4 linked regions of the Tamandua tetradactyla genome follow. The protein of the gene in region 2 interacts with the protein of the main gene of each other region in a pairwise test. Links are inferred from orthologs where the notes say so. Each region holds a gene or a part of one and is shown on either strand. Other genes may lie near its edges. The genes, in order: SSC5D, NECAB2, KANSL1 and KLC4.

Region 1 (7,673 bases), about 74 Mb from region 2:
GCTTCTCGGCGCCAGGCAGGGCCCCCCAAGACTGCCAGCCTGCCAGGAGGTGCCGGCTCCGGGGGAAGCCCGCCCTCCAGCCTGACACCCGAGCCAGGACATTCCTGATGTTGAGCCCAGTGAGCGTATGGCATTTGTTTAGCAGCTTGGAAACTGAAACAGGGCTTGATGAATATTCCCCGAAGAAAGGAAGGGAGGAAGGAAGGAAGAGAGGAGGGAGGGAGGGAGGGGACCCTAAGGGTGTCACCAAGGTAGGCTCCTGACTTGCAAGCTCTGTCCAACTTCGTCCCTGGGGGAGCCCTACGCCCTGGTTTCAGGGGAAGGGCCACGGCAGGTAGCCAGACCCAGTGTCGGGGGAGCACCAGGACCTGAGGCTCAGTCGTCAATGTCCCCACCCCTAGGGGAGCAGAAGGAGTAGAAGCTGGCCCACTGGGCAGCGGGGTGGCTGGGGTGGCCTGAGAGACGGTCCCCTGACCGGTTAGGGGGGCTGGGGGAGCACTGGGCACAGAGGGACCTGGTCAGGTGGCTGCGGGCGGGCATGACTCCTGCGAGCTGCAGGACCTTTGCGCGCAGGGACACACGGACCCGGCTCATGGCCTTGCTGGGATGGCACGATGGCCGGGAGAAGGAACATGCTCATTGGTCTGCACGAAACCTTCTCCCGTGGCACTGTGGGGAACACCATGGCTCGGGGTCACTGGCCAAGGCCATGGGACGGGGCCAAGAGCTGAGCCCAATTCCAAAACCCTTGCTCCCTCCAGGAGGCTGTCGGTAACTGCAGGGAAGTCGGGGGGGCTGGAGCGCTCCCTAGGAGGGGTGTGATGATTCTGAGCTGGGACCCAAGCCCTTGGGAAGGCGGGAGGACAGCCTCAGGTATGCCCGTGGCCCCCGCCCCACGTACCCGTGCAGACCAGCCCTGCGTCCTCGCTGTGGTCACAGTTGCTCCGACCCCAGGGACTCCGGGGACAGTCACGTAGGGCCTGCTCTCCTCCGCCGCACCCCACGTCATCCATCCACACGGGCCCTGAGCCGTAGCCAAACCGGGCACCGCCCGGGGCGGCCAGCGCCCCCCCGCAGCCCAGCTCCCGGCAGGCCACGGTGGCATCGCGCAGGTCCCAGCCATCGTCACACACCGTCCCCCAGCGCCCCGCGTGCCACACCTCCAGCCGCCCGGCGCAGCCGTGGGGACCCGAGACCAGGCGCAGCCGCTCTAGGGGGGACAGGGAGGGGACGAGGTGCCTCATCTGCGCACAGCATGGGACACGCAGGTTCAAGCCCTTCACCTGGGGAAACTGAGGCCTGAGCTGAATGGGGGCTCCTGTTAGGGGGAGGGAGCAGCGACTGGGTGGGGCAGGACACCCGGGTCCCGGGACAGGCAGAGGGTGGGGGTGAGTGAGTGGGAGACGGCGCCTGACTCCCTGAACCCCCGGGGTGCGGGCAGGGGCATCCCGGGAAGCAGACTGAGAAGAGGGGGCCCTGCTCCCCTTGGTCTGGGCTCTGGGCCTAGGATGCGTGCACCCAGCATCGCGTGGGGGTGGGGGCCTCACCGTGACGGGGGGCCCCGGTCACCAGCGAAGGGGCGCGGGTGGACTTGGCCTGCTTGGGGGGCCGGGGGCTCTTCTTCCGCAGGCCACTCTGGGGATCCCCGGCCGGCCGGGGCGCTGGGAGAGAGACAGCCATGAGGGGGGTGCCGGGCGGCTGCTCTCCCGTCCCCCGGAATGGCGGTGCTGGCCAGGCTCCAGGTGGCAGCAGACGGTCCCAGTGGCCTTGCCCAAGGACTACCCCCCCCCCCCCGCAGTTTGGATGGGGAACCCAGGGACCCCAAGTTCAAAGGGGGGAGAGAGCTGGGGGTGCCACGGGCTGCCTCATCCTCACCGTGAGTCTCAGGGGGCACCTCAGACACCAGATTGAAACCCCCAGAGGGCCCGGGCCAGGGGTCCCCTGCCAAGAGGGAAGTGGAGTCGTCCCTGGAGCCGGCCACACGCTGCCCTGTGGGGCACAAGAGAAGCCCTGAAGGCGCGGGGTGGGGGGTAGGAGGTCACTGGGGTCCTGGGGAGAGGGATAGGGCTGGACCCGCGTGTCTGGGTCCTCGAGGGCTCAGGAGCCCCTGTAAGCTGGGGGTCCCTGAGCCCCAGGAGGGCCCGGCACTGAGGGGTGGCCTCCCGGCCCCTGCGAGCCCCTCACCTGCGCACACGACGCCCGCGTCCTCCTCGTGGGAGCAGATGTGTGCCTTCCAGCCGCGGTGCGGGCACAGGCCCAGTCGCGCCTCGCTGCCCCGGCAGGCCAGCTCGCTCAGCCACACGGGACCCTCGCCCTCCCCGAAGAAGGCGCCCCCGGGGGCGGCCAGCGCCCCCCCGCAGCCCAGCTCCCGGCAGGCCACGGCAGCATCGCGCAGGTCCCAGGCATCGTCGCACACCGAGCCCCAGCGCCCCGCGTGCCACACCTCCAGGCGCCCCGCACAGCCGTGGGGGCCGTCGGCCAGGCGCAGCCGCTCTGCAGGGGGACGGAGGAGAGGCTCGGACCCCAGGAGGGCCCCCACCCCGGCCCTGGGGCTGCACTGGTCACAAGTGGATGCAAACTCAGGGGATGATTGGGAGGGCAGTGCTGAGGGGCCCCGGCTCCCGTAGCAGGCTAGAGGCAGGGCCCCTGGGCTCCAGGCGGAGGACGCAGGGGTCAGAGCACCAGCCCTTGGGCTCTGGGGACATGGGGTGGCACAGGGGGAGGGGCTCGGAAACTCACCGACAGCCTGGATCCCCATCAGAGCGGCTGGAAGGGAGGGTGGGTGGGCCCGAGTGAGGGGTGCCTCCAGGGGTCCCTGTCTCCAGGACAGGTCCCTTGCCCTGCATGCCCTGGCACGCACGCGTGCACACACACGTGCACACCCAGTTCCCACGCTTCTTAACCAGAAACCCGCTGCCGGGAAGCAGGACTCTGGGCAGAGGCGGACGGGGTTGGGGGTCGGGCAGGGGTTGCATGCAGGCCCTGAGATGGGTGGGGCTTGAGGTCCTTTGTGTTCCCCTATGGGGACAGCTGAAGATCAGACACTGGGTGACCCCTGCACAGGGTCAGGGTGGGGGAAGAGGAAAGGGGCATGTCGCTTGGGACCCTGAGAGGGTGGGGCTGGGACTGCGCTCGGGTGGTGGGCAGGGAGGACGGGCTGTCCTCATGTCCCCAAGCACCAAGGGCTGGGGTCGCAGAAGCCTGAACCTCTAAAGTTGATGAGCCAAGGGGTCGGAGGGCTGGGGTCCGGGCCCCTGAGTCCTCAGGGAGAACGGTCACTCACCGACGAGGCAGGCCAAGACCCTCATGCTTGCAGACAGAGTCCAGGGCGGGGACGGGGTGAAAGGGGGAGAGCACGGGCGAGAGAGGCGGCAGCGGTCACAGGGAGGGAAGCGCCTGGACTGGGGAGGGGCAGGCAGGGCCTGGACGCGCTGCCAGGAGGAGAGAGAGGCTGCCGAGGAGGCAAGGAGGCAGCAGCGGGGGCTGAGGCAGGGAAGAGGGGGGGGTAGCAGCGGACGGGAGGGTGTCCAAGCCAGGGCCAGGCTCTGGATGTCGGGGGCGGCGGACTGCAGGGAACGGACAGGACAGGGGTGGAAGTGGAGGCGGCACAGAGACCCTCCTCCTGCCCCCTCTCCTGTCCAGCCAGGGAGGAGTGGGCTGACCACGGTAGCGGGGGGGTCAAGTTCTGACTCAAATTAACCACTGGGGCTGGGGGCTGGGTTCATGTGGGGCTCCTGGTACAGTGAGAGGGCTTACAGCCAGACAGCAGGAAGGACTTCCGGATTAGGAAAGGAGACAGAACCACTCTACCCCCCCAGTCAATCTGACTGCAAAGCCCTCCCTCCGTCTGAGTGGTCCCAGAGGATGAGAAAAATGGGAGGGGGCGGGAGGGCTGAGAGTTAAGACTTGGATGGGGGAGCAGCACCCTCCACTCTCTAGCTCTCACTCATATACTCAGACCCGCTCTCTGCACCAGCAGCTGTGAGGCGGAAAAAATTCGGTAATGGGGCTTGTGAGTCAGAAGGGCGGACCGAGGCTGCTGTGAGCTCATCACCCCCTTCTCCCAGGCCCTCCCTCCCACACCAATTAATGTCAACTTGGGGAAGGGAGGAGCCAGACGGAGGGGGGATGGGGGGATCAGAGAGAGACTGGAAAAGGCATCAAAGAGAGGGACAGACGCACAGCAATCTCAGGCTTTATTAACAAATGCCTTAAAAACCAGATGGGTCTGGAGGAACGGGGGCGGGCGGGGGCTCCTGGCCCTCTCAGCTCTCCAGCTCCTCTGCCCAGGGGCCCGCAGCAGCCCTGCACCCACCTCTCGGCCCCAGAGCCCCACTTCCCAGTGCATGCCCTCTACTGGCAGCCCCAGCCCATTCCCAGGAAGGCCTTCAAGACCTAACTCTTGGGAGCCCTCTTTGCTCGGCGTCCTGCTCCACAAACATCTCTCCCAGGCCTGAAGCACAAACAGAGCTTTGCAGACAAATGGACCAGGAGATTTCTTAGTGCAGAAAGAACTGAGGGTTGGACTGGCTGAGCTCTGGGGTCCCCCTAGGAATGGGAAGGAAAAGAGGGATTCCACTCTGAGGGGCTCAAACGCTACATGCTCGACACTGCAGATGTCAGGCAGGCGGCGGTGGGTCCCTTCCCCTCAGTGGGCCTTAGGGTTCTGAGTCCTGGGTGGGTTGGGGATTTGCTGAGGGACCACTCACCCTCCCCCAAAGGGCTGTGGTGAAGGGAGCAACTGGCCCAAGCCCAGCTCTCAGGCCGGTTGGAGTCACAAGTCTTTGCTGAACTCTCTCACCAACATGTACCCCATGTAGCCCCAGCCCCCCTCAGCCTGGTAGCCGCAGCCCTCCAGCATCCCTGCCACCCCCCAAGCTGCCACAGCCACTGGGACCACAAGCTGGGCCTGGGGCTCCCCCATGCCACCTGCCCAGGCCTGGGCTCGGGATTCAGCGAAGGCCAGCAGCCTCCTGCCCACACCCCGGCGGCGGTGCCAGCGGGAGACAGAGAGACGGGTGACCTGGGCCCCGCCTCCCGCATGTGGGTGGGGGGCCAGAGCCAGGACCCCGCACACATCACCAGAACTCTGGACTGCTACCCAGGGGCCCCCCAGGCTGCCTGGAGGAGGCAGTGAGCCCCACCGGGCCCTCAGGCCCATCTTCACGGCAGCCACTGCCAGGAACACGGGCAAGAGGAGGGCCAGGGCGAAGGAGGCCAGGATGAAGCGCAGACCGCTGCTGGCTGCCGCCAGGAGGAGCAGGGCTGGCGGCCGCGTCAAAGCATGCAGGGCCACACGATTTTCCATGTCCTTCACGCCGGCCTGCAGGTGGGAGGGGTGGTCAGAGGCAGGGACAGAGGCAGTGGGCAGCAGCAGCCGGTAGGAGGACTGACTGACAAGAAGGGAAGGCAGGTGGTAGGTCTGTGGTGGAGGGACAGGCAGGGATCACATCTGCTCTGTTCACAGAATTCTGTGCACTGGGTGTTAGATGGGTGAGTGAAGGAATGAGCAAATGAATGGATGAGTGAATGAATGAATGGACAAACAAGTGAGTTAGTGAATGAGTGAATGAACAAGTGATGAATGAATGGATGGGCAAGAGTATAAATGAATGAATGAGTGAGTGAATGAATTGCCAAATAAGTGCCTGAATGAGTGAACAAATAGATGAGTTGTGAGAATGGGTGAGTGAGTGAGTGAATAAATGAGTGAGTGAGCCAGGCAGTGAAAAGATGAGTGAATTAGTGAGTGAGCGAGTTGTTGAATGAACAAATGAGAGTGTTGAATGCAGGGGTTAATTAGGGAATGAATGAGTGAATTAGTGAATAATGCATGAGTGAACTGGTGAACACATGAATGAGTAAATGAATAAACAAACAAGTGAATGAATGTGGAGCATTAATGATTGAGTGAGCAAATGATAACAGTGAATGAATGAATGGCCAAGTGAGTGCCTGAATGAGCAAATCATGAATAAGCAAATCTATGAATGAGTGACTTAATGAATAGATAAGTGAGAATGGATTAATGAATAAATGAATAAGTGAAAGCATGAATGAATGAATGAGCTAGGGACTGAAAAAGTGAGGAAGGGAATGGGTAATGAGTGAATGAATGAATAAATGAAGAGTGGATTAACAAATGAATAAGCCACTGAATGGATGAACAAATGAAGTAGTGAATGAATGAATGAAATGAAAAAGGGGGTGAGTGAGTGGGTGGGTGAACTGGGCGCCGCCCCCACGGCAATCCAGGCCCATTGGTGGGCACCAGGGACGTGACCCCGGAGGGGTCTCAGGGCATCCTCCTCCAGGCAGCGAGTGCTCGGTCCCAAGGGGGCCCGGTGGGGGTGTCCGGGCCTAAGGCGGGCCCCTGGAGATGGCAGGAGGGGGGGGCCACGGCCGGGCCGAGCAGGCTGGAAGCCAGGAGCCCCGGGACGGCAGTGGGTGCCGCGGCCGGGGTAGCTGAGACCTGGGGAGGGCGAAGGCGAGAGGGACGGGGCGCGCGCGGCGGGGTGGGAGGGGAAGGCCGGGCGGCAGGGGCTGGCCCCGGCCTGCACCCGCTCGGGCTCTCACCTTCAGCATCTCCAGCACCAGGGCCTTCTCCTCCTCCCTCATCTCCCGCACCGACAGGTGGCCGGGGGCCATGGCAGCCCCGGCCCGTGCCCGGCAGGACAACGGTGGGGCCTGCGGGAAACGCGCAGTCAGCGGGAACCGGGGGTCACCGGCGCCAGCTCCCACATCGGCCGCCGCGACGCGACCAGCCCTTCCCGGCGCGCGCCGCGGGAGCGAGGCCCTGCAGGGCCGTCCAGGGGGTCGCGGCGGCCCGGGGCGGGGGCAGGGCGGCGGGGTCGGGAAGGGTCGCGGGCGGAAGTGACGCGCGCCTCGCGCCGCGGGGGAACGCCTGCACCCGCCTTAGCGCCCGCGGCCCAGCGTCCCGGCGGGGGTCCCGGGCGAACCGGCCGCGGGCTGGAGCGGGGGTGGCTGCACACGGCCGAGGGTGCCGGGGAAGGAGCGGGGACGGCCCTCCTCTGCGCACTCCGCGTCCCCACGCCCCGTTGCTAGGCGACCCGGGCGCGGAGCTGGAGTTGAGCGCCGAGCCGGGGTGGGGACGCGGCGCCCGGGTTTGCACTTACCCGCGCCGGGGCCCCCGCACTTGGCGGCCCGAGCCGGGCGGCTCTGTCCGGGACCGTCCACCCCAGCCCACCGGGCGCCGGGGCCCGCGGCGCCCTTAGAGATAAGTGCCCACCCACGCCCGTTGTTCAAATGAGGGCGGGGCGACTTCAAACACAGGCGTCCTTCTTAAGGACGGGAAGCGGCCCCCAGAGAAGACTGGCCCCAAAAGTCACAGGTGCAAGACCGAAGACTCCAGGGGCCCAGGCCACTGCTGTGACCGTGACCTCGCCCCTCCCCCCTCCCTCTCCTCTCCCCCCTCCCTCTCCTCTCCCCGCCAAAGCAAACAAAGGAGAGAAGGTTCTGAGTCTTTATTAACAAAGCCAGCCTACAATCCACTCCCGCCCGCCCGAACACGAGCCGGGGGGTACCAGCGGGTCTCCTCAAAAAGTGTGCACCAGCTGGACTGCCGGGAGAGTCTGCACAATCTGGATGGAGGGCAGGCCCGACTGCGCCACGCCTCCAGCCCCAGCGGGGACCACTTGTACCATTTGGGAGGT
Region 2 (7,739 bases):
AAGAGAGAAGGGCAGTGAGCCCCGGGCCCGGGAGGTGTGCTGTCCTCCGGTCGCTTCTGACCCGGTGCCCCGCCCCACTCCTCCGCCAGGAGCAGCTCCAGGCCTGGGGAAGCTGAGCCTCCCCTCGCCCCCCAGGAGGAGCCCCCGGGCTGGGCCCTGGGGAGGGGTGTTTCTCCCAGCAGCCGGCCGCGGAAGCCGCCGCCCACACTCCCTTCTGCGCTGCCAGCTGCCCACAGCCACGCCGACACACACGCGTGCACACACAGGTGTGCGCACATCATCCATGCACTTCACCCACTGACACACGCCCAGTCACAAACAACCCAGCTCAGAATTAGCATCCCACGGGCACACCTTCCACCACCACACACCCTGAGGCCCTCGGGAGCCCCAGTTTTCTCCGGGAGGGTGAATCAAGTGTGAATAGGGGCACCTAAGGGAGGGGCAAGGCCCAGGGAGCGGCTGGACTCGCCACGGGTCAGGGCTCGGCTGTTTATCAGGTGGGGTGCAGGGAGAAGCAGGCTGTCAGGAGCTAGGAAGGTGGCGCCTGGTGTACCCAGCAGGGAAGGGGGGAAGGGCAGCCCAAACGCCGGCCTCAACTCTCTTCTCAGGGGACCTCTCCTGAGCTGGGCGAGGCTGGACCAGAGGACGCTGTCTCCCGCATCCTTCCCAGTGCCATGCACACACCTGCACACACGTGGGGCAGAGCTGCTCCGTGTCCATCAAGGTCAGGCTGGAACCCCCAACAGGCAGCTGACCCAGCAATTTCTCCCTTTCTCCCATATGCCACAATCACCCGGGGAGCTTTTAAAACCCTCAGGCCACACCCCAGAACAATGAAATCAGCCTGTCTCCAGTTGGGCCCAGGTATCAGCATTTCTAAAGCTTCCCAGGTGCAGTCAATGTTGAAACCTGTGCACTAGGACAGCGCTATACAAAGGGGCGAGTTCAAGGACCAGTCTCTGAAGCATCACCTGGAGCTTGTTAAAAATGCTGAATCTCAGGGCCCCACACAGACTCAGAATCAGAACTTGCATTTTAAACAGGCACTTGGGGGATTTGTGTGCTTATAAAAGAGAAGGATCTGGGGTTCAGACTGGACCCCACATAGTTGAACTGATTTATTTTAGCAAGGAGGATGGAGGGGCAATGTCCTGCCCAAGGCACCCCAAGTTTTTCTGAGACATGGGGTGGTCTGGGTGGGGCCAGCTAAGGGGCACTGACAAAGGGTGGGGGGAGGCTTGTGGCCCTGGAGCAGAGGAGAGTTGCCCTCCCCATCCCACCTCCCTGTAAGCAGTGGGGGTAGGGGCCACTGGTCCTTATCAGGCCCCAGAAGTGGTCAGAGCTAGGCAGCAGCTCAGGGAAGGCTTCCTAAACACGCCCCCAGACCCCCTAGGGAGCCAGCTCCTGCCCTGTCCCCACCCCCCTACCCTTTAGGAGAATCCTGAGCCTGGCTCCCCGACAGGAACCACTGTGGCTGGGGCAGAAAAGGGGGCAGTTATCAGACCACCCCAGCCCCTCCTCAGAGCCCAGCCTGGGCATGCCATCGCCCTCCTCCTGACTGGGCACACCCCCAAGGCTGGGGTCCCAACCTGGGGATCCCCAGAGCCTCCCCTGAGCCTGGCGCCATTGGCCAAACAAACCCAGGGACGCAGCCGACATGTCAGCTCCAGGAATGTGCTCAGGCACTTGGGGGTTCCCGGCCCCCTCCCCCATTTCACAGACAAGGAGATGGAAGCTCAGAGCCCTCCAGAGCACCCCCCATCCCACATCGCCCTCAGAGGAGAGGACCCAGGGATGGGGCCGCATGGGATTCCCGGGAAGAGCCCGCATGGGTCTGCGGCCACCAACTCTGCAGCGAGCCCACAGGTGCCACAAGCGCTCAGGGCCCTGCACCCCCCCGCGCTGGCCAGCCCTTTCGCCGCGGACCCAGCTCCAGTTCCAGGAGAGAGCAGAGGAGGGAGAAGGAGAGGGAGAGAGGGAGAGGGGAAACCCAGGCTCCCCGCCCTCGCAGGGATCCGCTGTACACACATGCACACACCACCATGCACACACTCACAGAGACACAACTCTCCCAGAAACCCACAACACACTCTCACAGGCACTCCCAACCCCCGTCCCCAAAGCCACACACACACACACACACACACACACACACACACACACACACACACGGGACCCTCACTGGGGCACGCACACCTGCACCCCCACGCTGTCAAGGCAAGGTGTGGAGGGAGGGGGCTGAAGCCCCTCCACCTCCGAGCCCCTCTGCAGGGAGAAGTCTTCCACCCCCATGCCATCCACCCACAAGAACCCTCCCTCTCAGGGCAGGGGGTGGGTGGGAAGGTGGGGCAAGCTCCTCAGAGGGGTGCAGTGTGGGTCCCTGAGCGGATGGCGGGGTGCGGGTGGGTGAAGGGATGAGTCTGGGGTCCATGAAGTGAACTAGACCGGGTGGGAGACAGGGAACGGTGAAGGGAGTGGGGGGGTGGAATGGGGGAGAAGTCCAGAGGAGCCCAGGGCAGTGGGGGTGCTTCGAATCCTCTGGAAAGGAGAGGGGGAGGCAGGAGGTGAGGAGGGGGCTTCATTTTCAAAGAGGGGCTGGAGGAAAAGGGTCTCTCATCTGGGAATAGGAACACAGGGCTTCGGGGTGGAGAGGAAGGAAGAAGAGAGGCTGGGGCGGGAGGTTGCTGGGGGTGGGGGTGGGGGCTTACAAAAGTAGCAACTTGGATGGGAATGAAGGAGAAGGAGGGGCTGGCAGCTGTCAGGGGCTCCGGGTCGGGAAGGGACAGGGGTATAGGGTGGGGGGCAGGGCTAGGGAAAGAATGGGCGCTTGGCTAGACAAAAGTAAGGGGACGGCGGCCCGGTCCAGGGGCCCCGGAGGTCCTGACACAGGGACAGCGAGAAGTCGAGGGGGGTCCGGGGAAGGGAGCGGCCCGGGACGTGGAGGGGCTGGGGGCTCGCGTTCCGGGAGACGGCGGGAGCGGGTGAAGAAGGTCCTGCTCCGGGCGACCGAGGGCGATGGGCCGGGGGTCCCCTGCTCAGAGAGAAGGGGCCTGGGGGTCCCGCCGGGACGGGGCAGGGCCGCCGTGAGGCTCCCGCCGGGGGTCCCTGGCGGCGCGTACTCACGTCCAGGATGACGGCGGTGCCCCCGCGCGGCGAGGCGGGGCCGGGGCCGGGGTCCGCGACCGGGACGACGGGGGCCAGCGGCGTCCGGGGCTCGCCCATCCTGGCGCCCACCCAGCGCAGCAGCCCGCCCAGCGCCCGGCCCTGCGGCGGCGGCTCCCGGAGCAGCCTGTGCGCGCCGGCCCTGCACAGGCGCGCCGCCCGCTCGCACATCGCGCCGCGCCCGCCGCCGCCGCCGCCGCCGCCCGGAAGCCCGCCGACCCCCGCCCGGCCGCGGCCCGCCCCCGCGCGACCCCCTCCCCGGCGCCGCCAGCCCGCCCGCCCGCGCGCCCCGCCCTCCCTCCCTCGGCCCCCACGGCCGCGGACACCGCGGGGACGGGCCGGCGCCAGCGAGGGGGGGACGGGAGGGGGGACGGGAGGGGGTGCCCCGCCCGGACCCCAGCCACGTGCCCGTGTCCACCGCCCCACCCCCAACCAGGGCGCGGGGCCTGGAGGCTGGACCCCGGCTGGACTGCGCGGGGTTGGTGGGGATCTGGGCGCTGGGGGAGGGACGTACCGCCGGGCTACACCCCTCGACAGTCTGTCCCCCCCACCCCCGCCACCTGGAGGTAACTACCCCCTCCCACCCACCACCCATCCACCGCCGCCCCCGCCCGGTGGCGCCGCCGCCGCCGCGGGTGTCCGGCGAGCCCCGAGCGCCCTCTGCCGGCGCCGGCTGCGGGGATCGGCGCCCACGCGCCCCAGGCTCCCGCATCACTCCAGCGGGCACCCACCCTTGCCCTCCCGGATCTTCTCAGGTCCCCCCGTCCAATTACACAACGCCCCAGAACCAGTCTCCACGCCAGAATACCCTCTTTACCGCACACTCTGTCTATCTGTCCATCCATCCATCTCAAGGTATAGTTAAGGAGCGCCTACTAGGTGCCAGGGCCCGTGCCCAGCCATCTCATGCTGGACAGAACAGGCAGGGCGTTGGCTTCCTGGAGCTTATATCCAATGGGGTGGAGGCAGTCACTGGAATGGGCAATTAAAACTGCTATGAAGTGGGGGGAGGGGGACTGAGGGCCATGGGGGAGGGGGAGACGGGTTGCCTTGCTGTGTGAGGGGCTTGTCAGCAGAGGCTTCCTGGAGGAAGTGGTCCTTATCCGGAGAGATTCAAAGGAAGAGAAGAAATTAAAGAGAGATGAGAAAAGCCTGTGCAAAGGCCCTGTGGCAAGCTCCAGCATGGGCTGAATGGAGACAGTGTTGCTACAATGGAGTGGGGGCAGGGAAAAGGTTGGTGCGGTGGGCAGGGTCTGTGAACCACGCCCCCCACACAGCAGACCACTCCTGTCCTAGTTCTCCTCCTGCTTCTCTAACACAGCTGCCCTTGTACCTGCTCTTTTGTGGTCCCCCAGCCCATGGCCCTCACCCAGGGAATCACCCACACAGCCCGGTGCTTCCTTCCAGCTCCCAGTGCTGGGCCCCAGGGCCCTGGACCCCACCCCAAACAGAGTCCTCAGACACGAGTGGAGGCAGGCGCTGGTTTTATTTGGGACCTGGAAGGAGCAGGGCCTGGAATCCTCCCGGCTGGGTGACAGCTGGCCCTGGGGAGCTGGACAAGGCTGTCGGAGCCCAGCTGATGCCGGCAGCTTTCACCCCAAATCGTGGGTCTGGGCCTGCCCCGGCCTGTGCCCACCGTTGCATCTTGGGCCTTGGCGGGAGTCTGGGACAGCCTGGGATCGCCACTCCTGCTTGCCGAGGCGTCTTCTGCTCCCCAGGGCGTCTTCGGAGGAGCCCTGCGCCCGGCAGGGCTGGGGTCATCTCCCCTCCTCTTCAGGGCCTAGGTGCGAGGGTGCAAGGGCCCCGCACTAGGGTGGCTTCCGGGTCTCCTTTCTCTGCAGGGAGCTGGCCACGGCCAGGGCCCCGCCCTGCACGAAGCGCACAAAGTTGTCCCCGGCCAGCGGCCCCATGGCGTACAGGCCCTCCTGGCGGCTGCTCTGGTAGGTGAAGGGGTCCACGTCCACGGGGTTGCGCTTGGCGCTCAGCGGCTGGTCGGGGTCCACAGCGAGGTCGGCGCCGCCCCCGGGGAGGAAGGAGAGGTCTGGGTGGGAGCCGATCAGGACCAGCACCAGCGAGACCTCGAAGACCTTCTGGTGGCCGGCGGGGTCGCGGAACACGGCCTGGCGGTCCTCCTTGCAGAGCAGCAGCTGGTGCTGGGGGAGGCTGAGGTAGCCCCCGTAGGGGCTGGGGGACAGGATGGACTGCTCCCGCATCATCTGGTGCACCTTGTGGTACTCAGGGTACAGCATCTTGGGCAGCTGGTTGAACACCAGGCCAGGGTCGTCCACAGGCCGGCGGAAGGCGTGGATCACGGGGACGCCGTAGTGGCGGGCGTAGAGGATGGCGTCGGCCGCCGACAGCCCGGCGCCCACGATGAGGACGGGGTCCGAGGCCGGGGTCACCGCGCCCGCCCGCGTGGCCGCCTCCAGGGCCGCCAGCTCGTGGTGGACGAAAGGCAGGCCCTCCCCGGGGATGTCCAGCCGGGCGGGGCTGTCGGATGTGCCTGTGGCCAGGACCACGTTGCGGGCGCACAGGGAGAAGGGCTGCCGGCTCTGCTCCTTGGTGGCCAGGAAGCCGCTCACCTGGAAGAGGGGGCTGGGGTCCTGGGCCCCGGAGCTGCCGGGCTGGGGCGCCCCCCACCGCACTGCCGTGACCACGGCGCCCGACACGAAGCTCCGGCCCAGACCCTTTTTGGTCACGTAGTCCCTGTAGTAATGGGCGATGTCCCCGGCTGTGGCCCGGCTGTTGCGCAGACCCCTGCGGGAAAGGACGCAGGAGGGGAGGGGGTGTCAGGGAGCCTCCTGGGGCGTGGCAGGGGATAGGTGGTGCAGGGACAGGGGCAGGACCTGCAGCTCAGACAGCAGCTGCACCACGCGCCAGCTGCAGGCCTTGCCCAGAGGTTCAGCTGCCCAGAGTCTCAGGCTCCTTTTCGGTAAAATGGAGCCATTGCGGGCCCTGACCCCGACCCCAAGAGGCCGGAGGTGCAGGGTGGGCTTGAGAGGGCCAGCGGACTCCAGAAGCAGACTGCCCGGGTTCAAATCCCGGCTTTGCCCTGGTGGGCTTTGTGCCTCAGTTTCCCCACATGTGCAATGAGGATGATGGTGGCAGTGCGTTCTTCATGAGGGTGCTGGGAAGACTACATATAAAGTGCTGAGAATGGAATGTGGTGGGAGCCAGTGACACATAGGTCTTGCCAGTGTTGTTACCTCAAAAGGGTTAACTAGCAGTCTGGGTAAATAGGGGATGAGTCTGTTTTTATCAAGGGCAGAACCAGGGAAAGCTGATCTATGGAGGTGGACGTCATTAGTGGTTTCCTCTGGGGAGAAGGAATGGGCTGGCAGATGGGAAGGGGAAGGGAGGGGCGTTGGGGTCTGGGTGGCTTTCTCCATCCACCTGTACACAGGTGAGCTGTGTACTTTTCTAGACGTGGGCTGTGCTTCAATTCAAATAACCAGTTTATTTTTAAGATACTCCATGTAAAGCACTTAGCAATGTGCCCAGCCTGCATCATAAGAATGGTGGCAGTTTATGATTATTGTTGTTATAATATTGCCACTCTTTCTGAGGGCAATGGCTGCAGGGTCCCATGCAGCCAGTGGTTGAGTTCGAGGCTTTGGGACAATCCCAGCTCCTCCTTCCACCCAGCACCAAGACATAGGGCAAGTTACTTTCCCCAGTGTGTGGAGCAACAGCTAAGGATGAGCTCACTGCATGTGGAATAACATGCAACATGCAACACAACATCTGGGAAATGCCACAGTGTAGGGTAAACTCAGGCCAGGTCCACTGTGGCCAACCCACCTCGGTCACTCTGCTACTGGAACCTGAACTCTGCAAATGAACTTATTTCTCTGGATAACTATCCTAAGAAGGTGTTACCCATGGGGTTATTTATGGTAACCACAAATTGGGAAGAACCTAAAAATTCCATAACCGGACAGCGCCAAGGGAGCATGCTTCTTGGCCCTGATGTCTGAGCACATGGCCCGGCATGCAGTGAGGTATTCAGTGGAGACAGGGTGCCCGTGCACCCTTGGGAGTCTTGTGTGGCCGTGTCAACAGACAGTTGCAATCATTGCCCAGTCACCAGTGAAATGCTTAGGATGTGATGTTGAAGTTTAAAGGTAAGATATAAAAGGGCATGTGCGTCCATGAAGTTTAAGTTCCCGTCTGCCTGTTAGCACATCATCACACAAGCCTGGATGTTTTCCTATCAAAATGTTAGGGTCAGAGATTCCTTGTGTTCAGGAGACAGACAGTGAAGCCCTGCAGAGCTGGACACTGAGTTGCGAAAGAGGCCCTAGGGCCCTGTCACAGCCCCCAGGACAGAAAGGGCAGCCCTAATACAAGGAAACATGCCAGCATGGTGGCGACACCTGGGACAGCTTCTCATGAGGGCACATCCACCGCCCTCCACCGTGTCCCCCAGGGTGAGCAGGGGCTGGAATTCCTTTATGCAACAAGATGACTCTTTCTCCAGGGCCCACAGGTGGGCAGCATGGCCAGAGATGGAGTAGGAAACAAGATGGGGAGGAGATATACCCAAATGTGATAGTGCTAGGGACAAGTGTGGG
Region 3 (8,330 bases), on a different chromosome or scaffold from region 2:
AGAGTGGCATTTGGTACAACTTCAGAGCTTACTGACCCAGGGGTCAGAGAGACTTAGAGATACATTTTTAAACATCATATAAAGTTAAAAAAGCAGACCTTCATGATCATAATACATTACTGAAAGTCAAGGTGACCATAAAATGAAATCTGATAATATGATCCCAATATCTTTGGGTTTTTGAAGGTACTAGTTATTAACAAAAGGCTAATAATCCCTTGTCTGCTTCCTAATGACCAGAGTGGCCACCAGGTCGTGGCACTAAACACTCCATCCCAAAGAGAAACACTCTGGTTCGAGGTCCTCCAATTCCTATGGGTTCAGGACTTCTGGCTGGAGCTCCAACTCTATGGGAGAATAACTGGAAAAAGTGTGTCACTTTGGCTTCTTTCATACTAATAAAATCACTCATTATCCTAAGTGCAGCTGTTAACATAAATGAAGATAAGAACTCAGTCTACATTGCCTAAAGATTTACCACAAGTCCAAATATTTAGGTTACACAGACTGCATTCTCTGATTTACCCATTGCATACATTTGGAATTCCACACACCAGATTACCAAGGAACGATCTCTATACTAGTATCTAACTCTGAGGAAAGACAAGCTGTGTCACCTGGGGAAGCTTCCGTCACTCATCTCTCTCTCCCTATCCTTCCTCCCATTTTCCTCCCTTCATGTTCTAAGCTTTGCCTTCTCCTTAGTCTTAATGGAAAGTCCTTTGACCATTTATATAGAAGGGATGGGAAGGAGGCAAGAGACTGAAGAACCATCATACCAATGAGAGCTTTTTCATCTAAAGGCCATTCTGCCCATACAGTCCAAATGAGGTTTACCTGTGAGATAAACTAGGCACAAAATGCTACCTGTGAGGAAAACAGCATAAAATCTCACGCACAGGACTAGGGAGCAGAAGCAGGAGTCCCCAACAGAGCTGTCCACATAGACCAGCATGCCTCAGAATGTTCTAATATACTATGAAGTTTCAGAATAAACAAACAGTTAATGACACATCTTTTGTAACACATGAATCAGCTACTGATTTGCAAGAGTGGGCGCACCCTAATACCTATGACTCTCAAGTACCTGTTTGAAAGTGGACCATGATGTCTAAATTGCCAACCCATCCTACTGGGACTGGAATGAAATTTTAGAACTATGTGGTCTGTCATAATTTAAAGTAAAAAGGATGAACACATCATTACAATGGAAGTTAATTTAAGAACTTCATTAATATGTTATTACCAATAATCAAGAGAAGTAGCAAATACAAAATGAGGAATAATCAATCAGTCCTAGCAAGCAAGCACAATATTAATTTTTGACAGGAGAGGAGTACCACATGAGGTGGTTGAAGAATAGCAAATTCAAGAATTAGAAAGTTCTCGATTCTAAATAAAAAATAAACAAAATGAGGCCAATAGTGGAAAAATACTGTCTTACCTTAAGAGGCATCCAAATAGCATTCATAGTGTCAGGAACAGTGCAGGCAATACCCAAAAACGAACAAGAAGGGAGTCTTAGTAATTCCCTTAGATTCACCAAGTATGAGCAGGTAGGAAAAATTTTTATTGTTTCAGGAAGATATCTGAAAGAGAGGACTTTCACTTAGATTAAAAAATGCAGAAGAATAAGCAAACAGTTTAAGCTTCCTGGGCAGAGATTTGAAGTACTATTTGCCTTACTTTTCTAAAAAGATGTACAAAACACACTTGCCTTTTGAAAGAGGGCATCTCTCTCTCTCTCTCTGTATTTATATACATACACACACATACATATACATAGTTCAGATAAAAAGAGAAATTAATATATAAAACACATTTTAGATAAAATGAAATTGCTTCTCACAGAATATAGAAAACCAAAATATAAGTGAAAAGTAATGATTATCCAGGGCATTTCATCAACATAATTAAAAAATTTAATATCCTAAAAATGACTTTTGACACATTTAACTTAGTAAATTAAAATCTCTCTGATCATTCAGATTGTCCTACATTTTATTCAGCTTAAATGTAATTTCAGAGAAGATTCTACCTGAAAAATAAAATGTATTCTTGACTAAAACATTGTCAGCAAATAAAAGACCCTTCTTCACTATAGATCATTAAAAGCAGCCCAAACAATTTAATTTTAAGGATGAGAAGGGAGGCAAGTTTGCCCGGGGTCAGGAGGATGGACTGAATGCCCTCTTGCAGGATCCTAGGCCTGAATGAAATTCCAGCTTAACCAGTTACTGCTTCACTTAAAATGGAGGCTTGCCCGAGTAGGGACAAAAATGACAGCACCCACCTTTGTAAAAATAAATTTCGAAAAATCAAAGGCTAGAGAACTCCCATTTAAAGAAAATTAAAACCTTTGGAGTGGATTTATTCTTAACTATGCGTTTGTCACTTCGGCTTGGAAGACTTGGCATCACTTTCCTTACTGCTCATCGTATTTTTTTTTTTCCTTTGGGGGTGGGAGGGGTGAGGGGAGTTTGACTCTCGACCCAAGTCGCAGTCGGGTTTAATATGCCCTCCCACGATCCCTACCTCAGAAGCATCGGGAGAGAGAGACCGGGAGTCCGAGTTCCCACCCCTCCCCCCACCTTGGACCCTTGTCCCAAACCTAAGCTCCCCCCACCCCAACCTTCTCGCAGTGGGGCGACTCGTCTTGCCTTATTCCCGTGGTTAAGGAAAGGGCGAATGGGGAGGTGGGCTCAACGTGGGGGTCGCTTTCGGCCGTTGCCCCGCTGGCCTCAAGAGGGGCGGCCCGCGGGATGCAGCTTCCCTTCCTCTCCGCGTCGGTCCGTCCCACCTCGGCTCGGCCTGGCGCCCCGGGCTCTGCTCGGTGTCCCCGGCCCCGGCCGGCCCCCGGGCAGCCAGACCCCTTGACCATTCGGCCCGCGGCGCGCCGCCCAGGCCTGCGGGTGGACGCGGGGTGAGGGTCCCTGTGCCCACACACGCGTCCCCGCTCCCCCAGTCCTGCCGCTGCCAGGGCCCTCGGCGGCGACCGTTCCCCGGGCCGCTCGGCCCCCACCTCCAGGCCGGGTCGCCACGTCGGGCTCTCCCCGTCGGGGCCACCTCCCTTTCCCCACCATCACCCCCACCCACTCGTGCCCCTACCCCCCGGGGTACCAGTGCCAACGGCAGCTCCCCCAGCCCGGGACCTACCTGCACGGCTCAACCAAGCCTAGAAGTGGGGGCGGGGAATCTTCCGCCCTCCTCCGTCTCTCATTGGCCCTTCCGGGGCCCATCATGAGCACCATTGGCTGATGGCGGGTGTCCATCAGAGCGGCGGGGCGGGACGGAAGGAGGAGAGGGATGCTGATGCCTCGGCGTCTCTGTCTCTGTGTATCTCGCTGTCTCTGTCTCGGCCTTTGGAAACCAGAGGCGTTTGGACGAGAGGACAGGAAGGGGCCCTGAGATGGAGGGAACAGACGGAGGGAATACTGGCAGCGCTTCACACCAGTCGGCCAGTCGGAACCCCCTACCCAAGTCCCCTTTAGGTCCTCTTCTCCATCACCCCCAGCTCCTGCTCCTCACCCCTGTAGGTTTTTCATCCAGGAAGCTACGTGATGAAAACTCGAGGCCGGAAGGGAGAGATTTAATGTATGGGGGAGATTTAATATATGTATGTAAATATATACACACATATATATATTTATATAGATATCGATATTATGGCTATAAAGATACATGCGTACGTGTGTGTAGTCAACCAGGTATAAGGTCATGATAGCCTGAAGAAGAAAGGGCACACATTTCAGAGACAGAGAAGAACTTGAGCTATAGCCAACATAAAAAGGAATAAAAAAAAATCAATCAAAGAGCTGATAACAGTGGTTCTCTCCTGGGAGGGGAGATGAAGCCTCGGGAGACCAAGTGGGAGAAAGACTTACGTCTCACATATCACCTTAGTTATTCTTTTATATCTTTTGATTTTTGTACCATTCACGAAAATTGCCAATTCAAAGAAAATTAATTGGTTAAAAATTTCAAATAATTCTAAGGTCAAAAAACTAGGGAAATAGACAAGATGGTTGTCCAGGAAATTTAGGAAAATGTGCAGCTTTGGGGAGGAGTCTTAGTTTTTAATACTGCAGTTCAAGATACCAGTGGTAAAACCAAACAGAGGTGACTCAGAGGCAGTTTAGGGTTATGGGATTTATGAGCAGATGAACAGACTGGATTCAAAAAGGTTTAGGATTCTCCACCTAAGTATAGTGGTTGATGATATGCTGAAGGATAAATTCCCCCCAAAAGTGTAAAGACAGCTGCATTTAAAGTTAAGAGTCTGAAAAAGAATCAGAAAGAGGGTCAGTCAAGTAAAAGAAACAATATTGAAAACGAATGAAAGTTAAGGGAGGGAGGGTATCCAGAAAAATAGGCGTGAGGCTTACTTTGGGCACGCTCTTTAGGCAACCATGTGACAGTAAGAATGAAAGCCAAGAAAACATCCATAAAGCAGGGTTTTTAATTTTGTCCATGCATGGCAAAGCATGTGGACCCCTTCTCAGAGTAATGTTTTTAAAGGAATTCGAAGGAAACCAATCATATTGAGATACAATTACTAAAATATTTTAAAAGTGTGATATAATAATGTATGTGCTTTTATTAATGCATTAAATAAGACCTAGCAGAGAGTCTAATGACTGCCATAATTTTGAGCTAGTGAATGAGCATAAATGGTATTTCAAGATATCTGCAACTGTGATATAATATGAAAATATTTGTGCTTTCTCTTGGAGACAAGATCACTGGTCCTGTTAATGCTCCTGTGATATCTTGTCTACATTCATGACTGAAGGAAATGCTAACTTTCTGTTAGACTTTAGTAAATTCGTGGTCTCCCAAATCTGTATACCACAGATTAAAGAACCCTACCCTAAGAAGATCATGTTCCCCAATCTCCACATGTCCACAGCGGCCTGGAACTTGTCTTCGCCCCTCATCCTTGTTCCTCTCTTCCTCTTCCCCACAAGCTCCAAGCACTCTTCACTTCCCAGTCCTGAATGCAGATGCCTGACATCCCTGTGACACAGGGGACAAGGGATCATGTGGAAGGATTGCAAGAAAGATAGAAACACATTGGCTTCCAAAGAAAAAAGAGAAAACTATGAGGTATATTCAGATCAGAGATGATGGGGAAAATGAGCCCAGGATAGGATATCATTCATTCCCAAGAAGGAAAACAAATTGTAAAAAGAAAACATCTTTATCAGTTATGAATTTTTTCTATGAGTTTATTAATTCTGCTTAGAAACACCTTCCATCAATCTCCTTATTTCATATACCTGTAAAATGGGGTGAAAAATAGTACCTACCTCTTAGAGTTGTGCCAATTAAAATGAGTGAATTCATATAATGGATTTAAAACACTGTCTGGCACAAGCTAAACACACAATTTTTAACAATCATTATTATTATATTTGGCATCTTGTATTGTAGAGCATTCATGAAAATGCTGGTATGATTATCCACATTAATGTCACGTACAATAACAGATTAAAAGCGATAAGAGGGTTAGCACAAAACACTGTTTTTCATTTAAATGCTTCAAAATTAGAACACTCCATTTCTTCCGGTGACATTTTCATTCCTCTAGGGAGAATATCCATGCTTCTTTAAAAGGATTGTAAACTCAAAAAGAACTTTTATTATTCATATTACAAAGGGCTAATTTCAATAATGTTGTATATGACTTTCTCCTACAAATAATAAATAAAGACCAGCAAATCCTTTTACACAGGTGGCAGTATTAACTGGTACAGCCATTTTGGTACAATCTAATAAAATTTAAGATATGCATACCCTAGGTCCCAGCAGTCCCACTACTAGATACATATTCTAAGGGAATGCATAGTTTTAAATATCAGGATTACTGTCAAGAATATTCACAGCAATGTTTTTCCTTATTACCTAAAACTGGAACTTTCCCAAATGCCTACCAAACATAAAATGGATCAATTGTGCTATATTTGTACAAAGAAAATTAACAAATTATGGTTATGTTCAACAACATGGATGAATTTTTACAAAGGTAACATTGAACACGCACAAAAGCAAACTATGAAAAATATGTATAGTATGTTTCCACTGATATAAACTTCAAAAGCAAGCAAAACTATATTATTTAGGGATAGGTGGTAAAATTATAAGAAAAAGCAAGGAAGTGAACACCATAAAAGTCAGGAGAACCAGTAGGGGTAGAGGGGTTTGTGTTTGACGGGTCTTGAGGTGGAGGGGGTGAGGGGTAGGGGGCTGTTCTACAGGGCTGGCAATATTCTATTTTTTCACCAGGGTGTTGAATACACAAGTATTTTTTCTATAACTTTTTATGTACAAAAAAAGTTTTATATACTTTTATGTATATATGTTAAATTTCACAATAAAATGCTAAATAATAATTTTTTTAATGTTTAGAAAAATGGACAAAGGATATGATGGAATTTAATTTTTTTTTCATTTAATTTTTTTAACCTGGGTTGGCCATCGCCACAAGTAAAGGACGTGACAGTAGAAAGGAAAGAAAGAAAGAGACGACGAAGAAACAACAGTACAAGCAGCTTAGGAGGAAAAACACGAAAAGAGCTGTAGACATCCCGGTCTGGTAAAGAAAAGAAGCATAGCAGGAGAGCAAGGAAAAAGCAAGTCTGTCAGTTCACACCGCAATTGAGGAGGGGGTGCACCGTTTCTGGAAGTACTGCAATACCAGGTCGATGAGTGGAGTGGACGGAGCAAGCTCCTATTCCATCTCCCAGCTCCAAAAATCCATTTAATATATTGTCCTCGGATAGAGGACGTATCAGACATTAAACTGATAAGAACAGATACTACACTTGATCTTAGCCAAAAGGCCGAGACGCGATATATGATGGAATTTAACAAAAAAAAAATATGAATGACTCAAATAAAAGATGCTCAACTTCGCTAAAAGACATACATGTGAAACTCCACTGAGAAACTTTTTTTTCCATCTAAGGTCACAAAGATAAAGTTTGCCAACACATTATGTTGGCAAGGCAGTTGGGGAAATAGGCATTTTTGTAAATTGCTGGTGAAAATATAAATTGTTACAACATCTCTGGAGGACAATTTGACAGTAGCCATCAAAATTATAAATGCAGATGCCCTTTAATTCAGCAATTCCACCTCTAAGAGTTTATTCATTCCTCAAATATGTATTAAGCACCTACCATGTGATAGGTAACGTTGTTATGCCTTGAAGTTTATCCTACTGACATACTCTCTGAAAAGTCTGGACACACGAGGATGTTTACTTCATTATCATCACAGAGTTGTGCATGGGGAAGAAGGCTTAAATCTCAACGCAGAATATAATTAAGATTATGTCAGAGCGTTTAAATAAAATGAAAAAGTATAATATTTTCCCTGCTGCCAAATGTTTAGATATCCTGTATATACACAGTTAACAGGTTTGGTTTTTAACAAACAATGTAAGCAAAATATGGGGAAAATAATACCTAAATGCCCTTCATTAAAAGACTGGTTAAATAAATTATAGTTTGACCCCCCACTCCATCACCAGGGTGGGCAGCACGGGCTTTGAGACCTGTGCAATTACGCAGGCCCCTGTGCTCAGAAGGGACCCCGGCTTGGTTCAATGTTCAGCTTGAAAATCTTTCCTGAAAATTCTTAACAATGTTATTTTTGAACTTGTCAGATGGGACATTGTGTGTGAGTAGAGGAGATCCAAGCAATTAGAATGTCACCATTCCTTGCCACCCCATTTAACTACAGCGTTTGAGATGCCGGGAAAGCACAGAATATTGGTGGACCCGTGATAGTCTGGAAATTGTGCAAGATTCAAAGTCAGTGCGAGGTAAGCTGGTCCATCAATCACTGAGTAACCCGGATGCTGACTGCTCCCAGAGGCGGTGCTTTCCCCACTTGCTTCCAAAGCTGAAAGACGGTGGCGAGCTAAGATACTTAAAAGGACCAAGGAACCGTGTCATCTCCTTTTTTCACTCATGTTATCTTCCTAACTTAGCCAGCCACTTATGAAATGATGACATAAAGGGAAAAGAAAGGACAACCCACAGTTCTTGCAGTCTTTCTTTACAAATAAGTAAGCTGAAGGTAGGGAGGATTGGCAGAATCTGCACCAGTCAAGAAGCGAAATCAGAACAGTTGGGTTTGTTTTGTGCAGTATTTCCACTGTTCTAGTAAGAATAAAACACATGTGCAAGTATAAGCCACAAAACACAAATCATATAATTTTGGTGTTTCACATAAGTGAAGTGCTCTACTAAAACTGAAAACTGACATTGCACAATACAAAGATAGTAAAGTTCATGCTAGTGACTTAAAGTTTTAATTTTTCT
Region 4 (7,449 bases), on a different chromosome or scaffold from region 2:
AAGCCATATAAATGCCTGTTGAGGAGGGTTAAATTTCACACTTTTTTTTTTTAATTTCACACATTTTGAGAGCAAACTTTAGGAGGATCTTGCTCATCTGGGCTGTGCTTTCCCTAATTGTAACACTTAGGCCTCTGGATTACAATTGTCCAGGTGCTTGTCTGACTCCACCCTCCGCCCACACAAACCTATAATTGTGAGAGCAGGGACTAGCCTGCCTCATTCACTGTTGTATCTCCAGCAAAGTGCCCAGTGCCCAGTACGTAATAGACATTTAATTAAATGTAGATTGAATGAGTGAATACTGTTTCCCCCTTTCTGTCATGTCAGGACTGACAAAGGAATTCTCCCTGATGGGAAGAGGTTGGGCAGAGCTGCTGGTTCCCTCAGATGATGGGTCAATTGCCCTCATGTTTGTGGTGACTCCCAGCTGCCCATCCCCAGCCAGCCCTGCCTGCTCACCGTGGTGTGCCCATCCTCATCATACTGCCGCAGCTGCCCCAGGAACTCCAAGTGCTTCTTTTCCTCCTCCAGCTGAGCCACGGCCTGTTCACTGCGCTGCAGCCGCTGCTGGGTGCCTGCCAACTCGTCCCGGAGCCACTGGTTCTCCTGACACAGCCGCCGTACCTGAGCCCGCAGTTTCTGTTTCTCCGACTCCACTGTGCTGAGGTGGCTGGCTAGAGCTAGCATCACCTGGATGGGCATATCTAGTGAGCGCCAGCCTCTGGATGAGACTGCTCAAGGGCAAACAGGAGGAAAGCCTACTGGGAGGCAGCAAGACTGGCAGAGGCACAAACGGGCCAAGGGGTGTAGATGATGCTAGGGTGTGTAACAGTGGCCCTACTTTCAACATAAATACCCTGAATCCAATTTCTCACCACCTCCACTGCCACCACTCTGGACCAAGCTGTATTGCTTTTTTCTCCCAATTCGAATGTAAGCTATAAGACAGCAAAGATTTGTGGCTATCGGGTTCACTGATAAATCTCCAGTGACCAGAAAATGTCTGACATATAGGAAAGACTTAACAAATACTTACTGAACAAATGAACGAATGCAAGCATCTAGAATAAGGTGATTCCAATTGGCCCCAAACCTCCCCTCAGACTCTAGTCTGATACTTGCTCCTCTGTTCACTTTGGTTTGCATGGCACCACCTCTACCATCTCACCTGGGCCTCACTTAGCCCCAGCTCAATATTTTCCATGGAATGGCGCAGCTGCCGGGCCTTCTCATGCACCAGCCCTTCCTCATGGCCTCCCTGCTGCAGACACTCGATGGTTTGGGATAGGCTTTGCAACACAGCCTGGTGTTCACTGTGTAGGGCCTCCAGCCCCTGGGTCACCAGCCGAGTGCTCCCTAGGATCTCCTCCTGGCTCAGCCGATGCCCTGCAGGCTCATCCCGCTGGCCCAACACCAGGCCCGACATCCTTGCCAGGGAGTCCTTATCTGGGCTAGAGACAAAAACAGAATTCAGCTAGGGCAAGGGAGAACAAGAGAGGCTGAACTCTCCTTGGTTAGAGGGTAGCAGGGATCCAGGTACAAGCACGAGAGTATGGGTGACCCTCTGGCTTAGTCGGAGAGGGAGAGAGAAACCAGTGGGGAGGGAGCTTACAACACTAATCACAAAGCTATGGATGTGGGCAAAGACAGAGGGAGGAGGGAGGAATTGAGTTAGATGGAGAAAGACCAGAAGGAATGAAGATGTTTAGAACTAAAAGGGTTATGGACTTAGGAGCATTGCAGAAAGGGAGTTGGAGAGAGCTTGGGTTAGGAAAAAGAATCAGCAGGTGAGACACAGCATTACAGGAATCACAGAGGTATTTGGGAGGGCTGCAAACAGGGTTAGAATAGACAGGAGACATACAGAAAATAGTTCAGAGCTTCTGATAAAAGGGAAAGAATAGATATCAAAGTTAAATCATGGAAGAAAATTAAAAGAAGAAAACAGGAGCCTTCATATCTGAGAACTCAGGAGAAAGGACCCCAGAAGGTTCAAGGTCCTCTGGCTGTGTCACCCATGGAGCAAGACCTGCATCTCCAAAATTGGTCAGTTCTTTATCTTTCCCCATTCGCCTCCAACCCATACTTGCCACCCTCTCAAAATGGTCTTGTTTCTCAGCATTGAAATCCTCTTACCTGTATACAGAACTTCACTGCGGAGCTCAGGTTCGAGCCCGGAAGAAACTGTTCAGCAGCCAGGGATTCAGAAGGACCTGCCCTGCCCAAAGTCCAGAAGTCCAGGGTTCCCGCCCCCTCTCTCACCACTCATAGCCACCCAGAGGACAGGACATAGAGCCCCTCCCAGGGCAAACACGTTACCCTTGCCTACAGGTCTTCAAACACAACAATATCCCTCCCCCTTCCCCAGGACAGCCTCCCACCCCAGCCCTGGAGAACTACTTTCTCCCAAGAAGGGAGCGAGGGAGAGATCTGATCAGAGACCTAAAGAGAGGGGAGTATTTGGGAAAGGGTGAGGAGGAAGACCTGATCTTTCCTGGCCCAGCCACTTCCATGGCTTTGTTCCCCGGAGGCCAGGTTGGAGGAACTCTCTTGTCTCTGTCACAGTCACCTACTAACAGACTCTGAGAAGAGTCACCTTAGTTGCCTCCCAGTTGCCTGATGGTTCAGGGAAGAATGGCAGGTCTGCTGAGCGGCTGCGGGGTCACAGAGAAACGCGGCGCTGGGAATTGGTCTCCTGACTTGGGAATGGGGTTGAGGAGTGTCCCAGGCTGTTGACCAGTCCTAGGGCCCAGGGTGGGGGTAAGAGGAGATGGGCGGGGGCGGGGGGGGGGTAGTTCGAGTGGATGGCTGAGGTCTGCGTCGCGGGCTAGGACCCCACGGCCAGACAATCTCGAGGTCAGTGAGTCAGTTGGTCGCTCAGGGGGCGGGGCAGGCCTTCTGTCCGTCTGTCTGGATGCCGAGGGGCGGGGAAGAATCGGGGTGGGCGGAGTTTTGGAGCCGGTCTGGAATCGTATGAGGTCGGTGAGGGGGTTTGTTCATCTGTCCAGGAGTGCGGGAATATGATATGGCGGGGCCCTCCACACTGTGCCCAATAGTTAACTCTAAGACTCACCCGCAGTCTCTCGGTCTGGCTGCCGCCCTGGCCGGCACTGCCCCTTTAAATCCATCATGGCTGCCTCTCGAGGCAATTGTTTTGACGGCTCCGAGGGGCGGGGCCTGTTCCCCCGTCACAAGACATCGGAGGCGCCAGAGGATTGGCTCTGGCTCTCGGAGGAAAGGAGATGTGTATCCGGCTTGGTCTCCTCTTCTCTGCCCCCTTCTTTTGCGTCATTAGACATCGACGGCGCCGGGAACTGTTGGTGTCACCCAGGAGCGCGGCGCGGCCTGGCTACAGGTGAGAGTGGCGTACGGACTCCTGTGGATTCTGACCTCCCCTATGGCCCTACGGGCTCTGACCCGTACTCTGGGCTCCCTGAGCCTTTCGCCAGCGCCCGCCGCCACTCCCATCCCTTTCCCGAGCCTGCTCCCCGCCGCCCAGGTAATCTGCTACACCGGGAAATGAGGCTGTTTCTGTTCTGGCCTCTCGGGAGGGAGAAGCCTGGGATGGGAGATGGGGGATGCGAATCTGGCCAGGAGTCGCGCCGGCCGGTGACGTTGGATAAGTCACTCATCCTTAGCTTTCCCTTTTGTAAGATCGTGTTGCCCTATAGTGCCGCAGGTGTTTTTCAGACAAGATACTGGAGGCAAAAGCGCTTTGCAGATCTCCTATTGTACGATTTCAAAAATAAGTATTTACTGAGTGCCTACTATAAGCCAGGCATAAGTAATATTTATGAGCTTAAAATAAATGAACTGACAATCACTCTGTAAGTGTAGTTTTTACTGTTCCTATTTTACAGATAAGAAAACTGATAGCAGTCAAGGGTCACGCACCAAGTAGTGGAGCTAGCCAGTCTAATGTCAGAGCCTCAGCTTTTAACCATTATGCTACAAGGATGAGTTATTGCTGAGATCAGAGAAAGCAGGATAAGATACCAAGAATAAAGACCTCAGGTGAAAGTATCAGGGGGTCACTAGTGGGCTACGGGAATGAACTGGTGAGGCACAGGAAAGAGAGGTTGTAAACTTGCTCATCTGGAGTTATCAGCTGTGTATTTGGCAGATGGAAACACAAAATTAAAAACTAGACCAACCTAATCTTCAGTGTTGGGAGTCAGCATTGAAGACAAATGATCCCGCCACTCCATTTATATGTGAAAATTCCCAGAAACATAACATAGATGGAAAAATGGGATCAGTGGTGATGATCATATATGTTTCCTGGAGAAGAAGAGTTTTATGCCATATTTGGAAAGATATGCCTCAAGGGAAGAACATTCATTGAAGAAATACTTCAGAGGTGAAAATGTATTAAAGGAGGAGAGGCAAACAACACACATACATCTGAATAAACATTCTGCACTGGTATCTGTGCATATTGATGGGTGGTATGTTTGGACAGCTGGTTTGGGGCACTTTCAGGAACAAGTAGGCTACAAGCTAAAAATGGTCTGTGTCCTGTCCCTTGGTTCTCTGATGCTTCTCCTTCAATTAGCTTTCCTAGTTAAAGAGCTTTCTCTTTATCCCTAGATAATAAGCAATGCCTTCCTCCAGTCACCCTCTGCCTTGATGTTGCCCCCCTGCCGCCCAATCCTTACTTCTGTGACCCTCAATGCCAAGCTTGAATCCTGGAAGAGTCGTACCAAGTACACCATTACACCAGTGAAGATGAGAAAGTCTGGGGGCCGAGACCACACAGGTGGGAGTGAGGGCAAGAGGATTTAAGCAATAAAGAAGAAAAACATGATAGGACCCTAAGCAAGTATAGTTGTAAACTTATACCTTGTGGAACAGAGAAATGCAATCAAAAAGCATTTATTGGACTCCTTCAGCATGTAGAATGTATGTTGGAGTCAGAGTGGGATACAAAGCAACAGACAAGGTGGTCTGTACTTCTAAAGACAATCTAGATAAAGAAAACTAGCCATACACAGGAAATGCCATGACATTTTTCTTTACACCATTTGAAACTTTACAACAGTTGGAATTGTTGAGCACTGTTTTCATGTCTCAGTAAACGTACTGAATGTAGTAATTTGATGAGATTTTACACAATTTCAATATTTAATATCTTCCCTAATATGCTATGTTTTCATTTTTTTACTTTTCTTTGTTATATTTACCAAACTCCATGTAGGTACTTCCCCCCACTCCCCCTTACCCCAATATGCTGTGCAAATCTTTTTTTTTATTCAATTTCTACTTCTGCCATAATGTTGGGAAGCACTGCTATTGGCCAAAGGGTGGGCCTGTTCCCAGTACTGGAAGCTGAATTAGTCTGACCTGGTTCATGTCCCCAAACTGTCCTGACCACAGGCCGCATTCGAGTGCATGGCATTGGTGGAGGCCACAAGCAACGCTATCGCATGATTGATTTTCTGCGTTTCCGGCCTGAGAATGAGAGCAAGCCAGGACCTTTTGAGGAGAAGGTCATCAACGTCCGATATGATCCCTGTAGGCAAGTTTGAGATATGGGGCAATGATGGTATATCTGACTGGCTGCTCTTTGGCTTCTCAGAAGACACAGAGCTGCCTTGATGGCCTGCTCAACCATCCCTTACCATTGAACAGGTCAGCAGACATAGCTCTGGTAGCTGGAGGCAGCCGGAAACGCTGGATCATTGCCACAGAAAATATGCAGGCTGGAGATATAATCCTGAACTCTGATCACATTGGACGGATGGCAGGTGAGGAATGGTTGCCAGATGCATGTAGGCTGGGAGGATGCGGGAATTCTTGTGCTGATGAAATTCCATCTTTTAGTTGCTGCTCGAGAAGGGGATGCACATCCTCTTGGGGCCTTGCCTGTGGGGACCCTCATCAACAACGTGGAGAGTGAGCCAGGCCGGGGAGCCCAATATATTCGAGCTGCAGGTATGGAAAGAGATGCTGCCTGGCTCCCTACAATTTGGAAGGCCAAGACCTGTGATCACAATTCTCTGAACCCATAGGCCATTGACAGAAAGAAGGGGAAAACAAGGAAAATGAGGATGTGCTTATATTTTGACCTAAAACATTATATGCGTCCTGTTTCAGTGTATCTGCTCCTAAAAGACAGCCAGAAGTATGTGGGGTATGGCCCCTGTGTGAACCAACCCCTCCACCTCATCCTTTTTGAAGGGTGGCAAAGCTGCCTTCTCCCTTTTCCAGGTACATGTGGTGTACTGCTGAGGAAGGTGAATGGAACAGCAATCATCCAGCTGCCCTCTAAGAGGCAGATGCAGGTGTGTATGGGAAGGACCAGCGAAGGAGGAATTTTTCATATGTACCTTTTCTGTCCAGGGATGGCTCCCAGATGTTTTATGCTAGGAACTGCCTCAAGCTGGGTCTGCCCTTTTCTGCTACGTGATTTGGCATGCAAGAGTCCATGCCCTCAACATTATGAGACTCTTTCCTCCCTCTGTTCATTGTCCTCCATCTGTTTTCTTTGTCAGGTGCTTGAAACGTGTGTGGCAACAGTGGGCCGAGTATCCAATGTAGATCATAACAAACGGATCATAGGCAAGGCTGGGCGGAACCGCTGGCTGGGCAAGAGGCCTAATAGCGGGCTATGGCACCGCAAGGGGGGCTGGGCTGGCCGAAAGATTCGGCCTCTACCCCCCATGAAGAGTTATGTGAAGTTGCCATCTGCTGCTGCCCAAAGCTGATAATTGATATCCCTGGAATCTAATAAAGTGGTCTCCCTCACCTATTTTTATCTGTTGTTTTTATTGGAGGGGAGGGTATGGACTGGACCAGGGGAGAAAAAGACAGAAGCGTTGGGTGAATAGAAGGAAAACGACCAATTGTTGCAAAGACTGGGGCTTCCCCCCGAGTTCCTTTATATGCAGGGGAGGATGGGGGAATAAACGATCTCCGAGGTCTTCCCCAGTTCTGACTTGCGAGAACGGGGAAGGGACTTCCGGCGGCAGGAGGGAGGACAAAAAGGAAGAGGAAAGGGCGGCGCGGAGGAGGAGGAGGTTCCGTGCGTCGCCGAGGTGGCACTCGCGGCCCCGCCCGGACGCTGTCCTCCCAAGGCCCCTCATTTTCCGCTAGACCCGCGGAAATGGTCCTCGGCTCCGGGCGGGCAGCGAAGCCCCGGAAACTGGGCGAGTGGCGCTGCTGGCCGCGGCCAGGCCCCGCCCCATCTCTGCAGCCGCCGATCCCAGCGCGCGGGTGATGACACTCGCCGGGCACCAGGGCACTGGATCCGCGCGCCACGCCCCCTGCCCGCGGAGGCACGCCCCCTCCCTCCTCGACCCTCTCGGGGGGCCCAGGCGGGGCCCAAATCTCCGCCAGCGTCGCCGCCATCGCTAGCGCAGCGTCCCTAGCTCTGCGAAGGACAGGCCTCACGCCAGGACCCCCATCGACTTCTGAGGTGGCCAGAGCCCCACCGCGGACCCCGGC

The links.
Region 1: the proteins of NECAB2 (region 2) and SSC5D interact in binary tests that used the Homo sapiens proteins (3 or more experiments, as listed by UniProt). The two-hybrid records come from large-scale screens. The link is inferred for Tamandua tetradactyla from reciprocal best matches to the Homo sapiens genes NECAB2 and SSC5D.
Region 3: the proteins of NECAB2 (region 2) and KANSL1 interact in binary tests that used the Homo sapiens proteins (3 or more experiments, as listed by UniProt). The two-hybrid records come from large-scale screens. The link is inferred for Tamandua tetradactyla from reciprocal best matches to the Homo sapiens genes NECAB2 and KANSL1.
Region 4: the proteins of NECAB2 (region 2) and KLC4 interact in binary tests that used the Homo sapiens proteins (3 or more experiments, as listed by UniProt). The two-hybrid records come from large-scale screens. The link is inferred for Tamandua tetradactyla from reciprocal best matches to the Homo sapiens genes NECAB2 and KLC4.

What each region holds. Positions count from the first base shown.
Region 1 is NC_135342.1:4,243,428-4,251,100, forward strand, and holds the start of SSC5D (soluble scavenger receptor cysteine-rich domain-containing protein SSC5D), read right to left. Parts: upstream 3,386-7,673; 5' UTR 3,309-3,385; coding exon 3,284-3,308; intron 2,767-3,283; coding exon 2,740-2,766; intron 2,494-2,739; coding exon 2,185-2,493; intron 1,990-2,184; coding exon 1,876-1,989; intron 1,662-1,875; coding exon 1,548-1,661; intron 1,211-1,547; coding exon 902-1,210; intron 1-901. Other genes in the region: NAT14 (putative N-acetyltransferase 14), read right to left, coding at 4,775-5,323, 6,577-6,648.
Region 2 is NC_135342.1:78,661,934-78,669,672, reverse strand, and holds the start of NECAB2 (N-terminal EF-hand calcium-binding protein 2), read right to left. Parts: upstream 3,337-7,739; coding exon 3,127-3,336; intron 1-3,126. Other genes in the region: OSGIN1 (oxidative stress-induced growth inhibitor 1), read right to left, coding at 4,974-5,922. UniProt on the Homo sapiens protein: May act as a signaling scaffold protein that senses intracellular calcium.
Region 3 is NC_135332.1:20,449,282-20,457,611, reverse strand, and holds the start of KANSL1 (KAT8 regulatory NSL complex subunit 1), read right to left. Parts: upstream 3,232-8,330; 5' UTR 3,157-3,231; intron 2,800-3,156; exon of another isoform or gene 2,661-2,799; intron 1,590-2,660; 5' UTR 1,445-1,589; intron 1-1,444. UniProt on the Homo sapiens protein: Non-catalytic component of the NSL histone acetyltransferase complex, a multiprotein complex that mediates histone H4 acetylation at 'Lys-5'- and 'Lys-8' (H4K5ac and H4K8ac) at transcription start sites and promotes transcription initiation.
Region 4 is NC_135331.1:100,635,934-100,643,382, reverse strand, and holds the start of KLC4 (kinesin light chain 4), read right to left. Parts: upstream 3,135-7,449; coding exon 3,077-3,134; exon of another isoform or gene 3,009-3,076; intron 2,860-3,008; exon of another isoform or gene 2,787-2,859; intron 2,778-2,786; exon of another isoform or gene 2,658-2,777; coding exon 2,600-2,657; exon of another isoform or gene 2,517-2,599; coding exon of another isoform or gene 2,488-2,516; exon of another isoform or gene 2,140-2,487; intron 1,455-2,139; coding exon 1,172-1,454; intron 694-1,171; coding exon 463-693; intron 1-462. Other genes in the region: MRPL2 (large ribosomal subunit protein uL2m), read left to right, coding at 3,133-3,502, 5,380-5,521, 5,635-5,750, 5,827-5,937, 6,214-6,287, 6,498-6,710.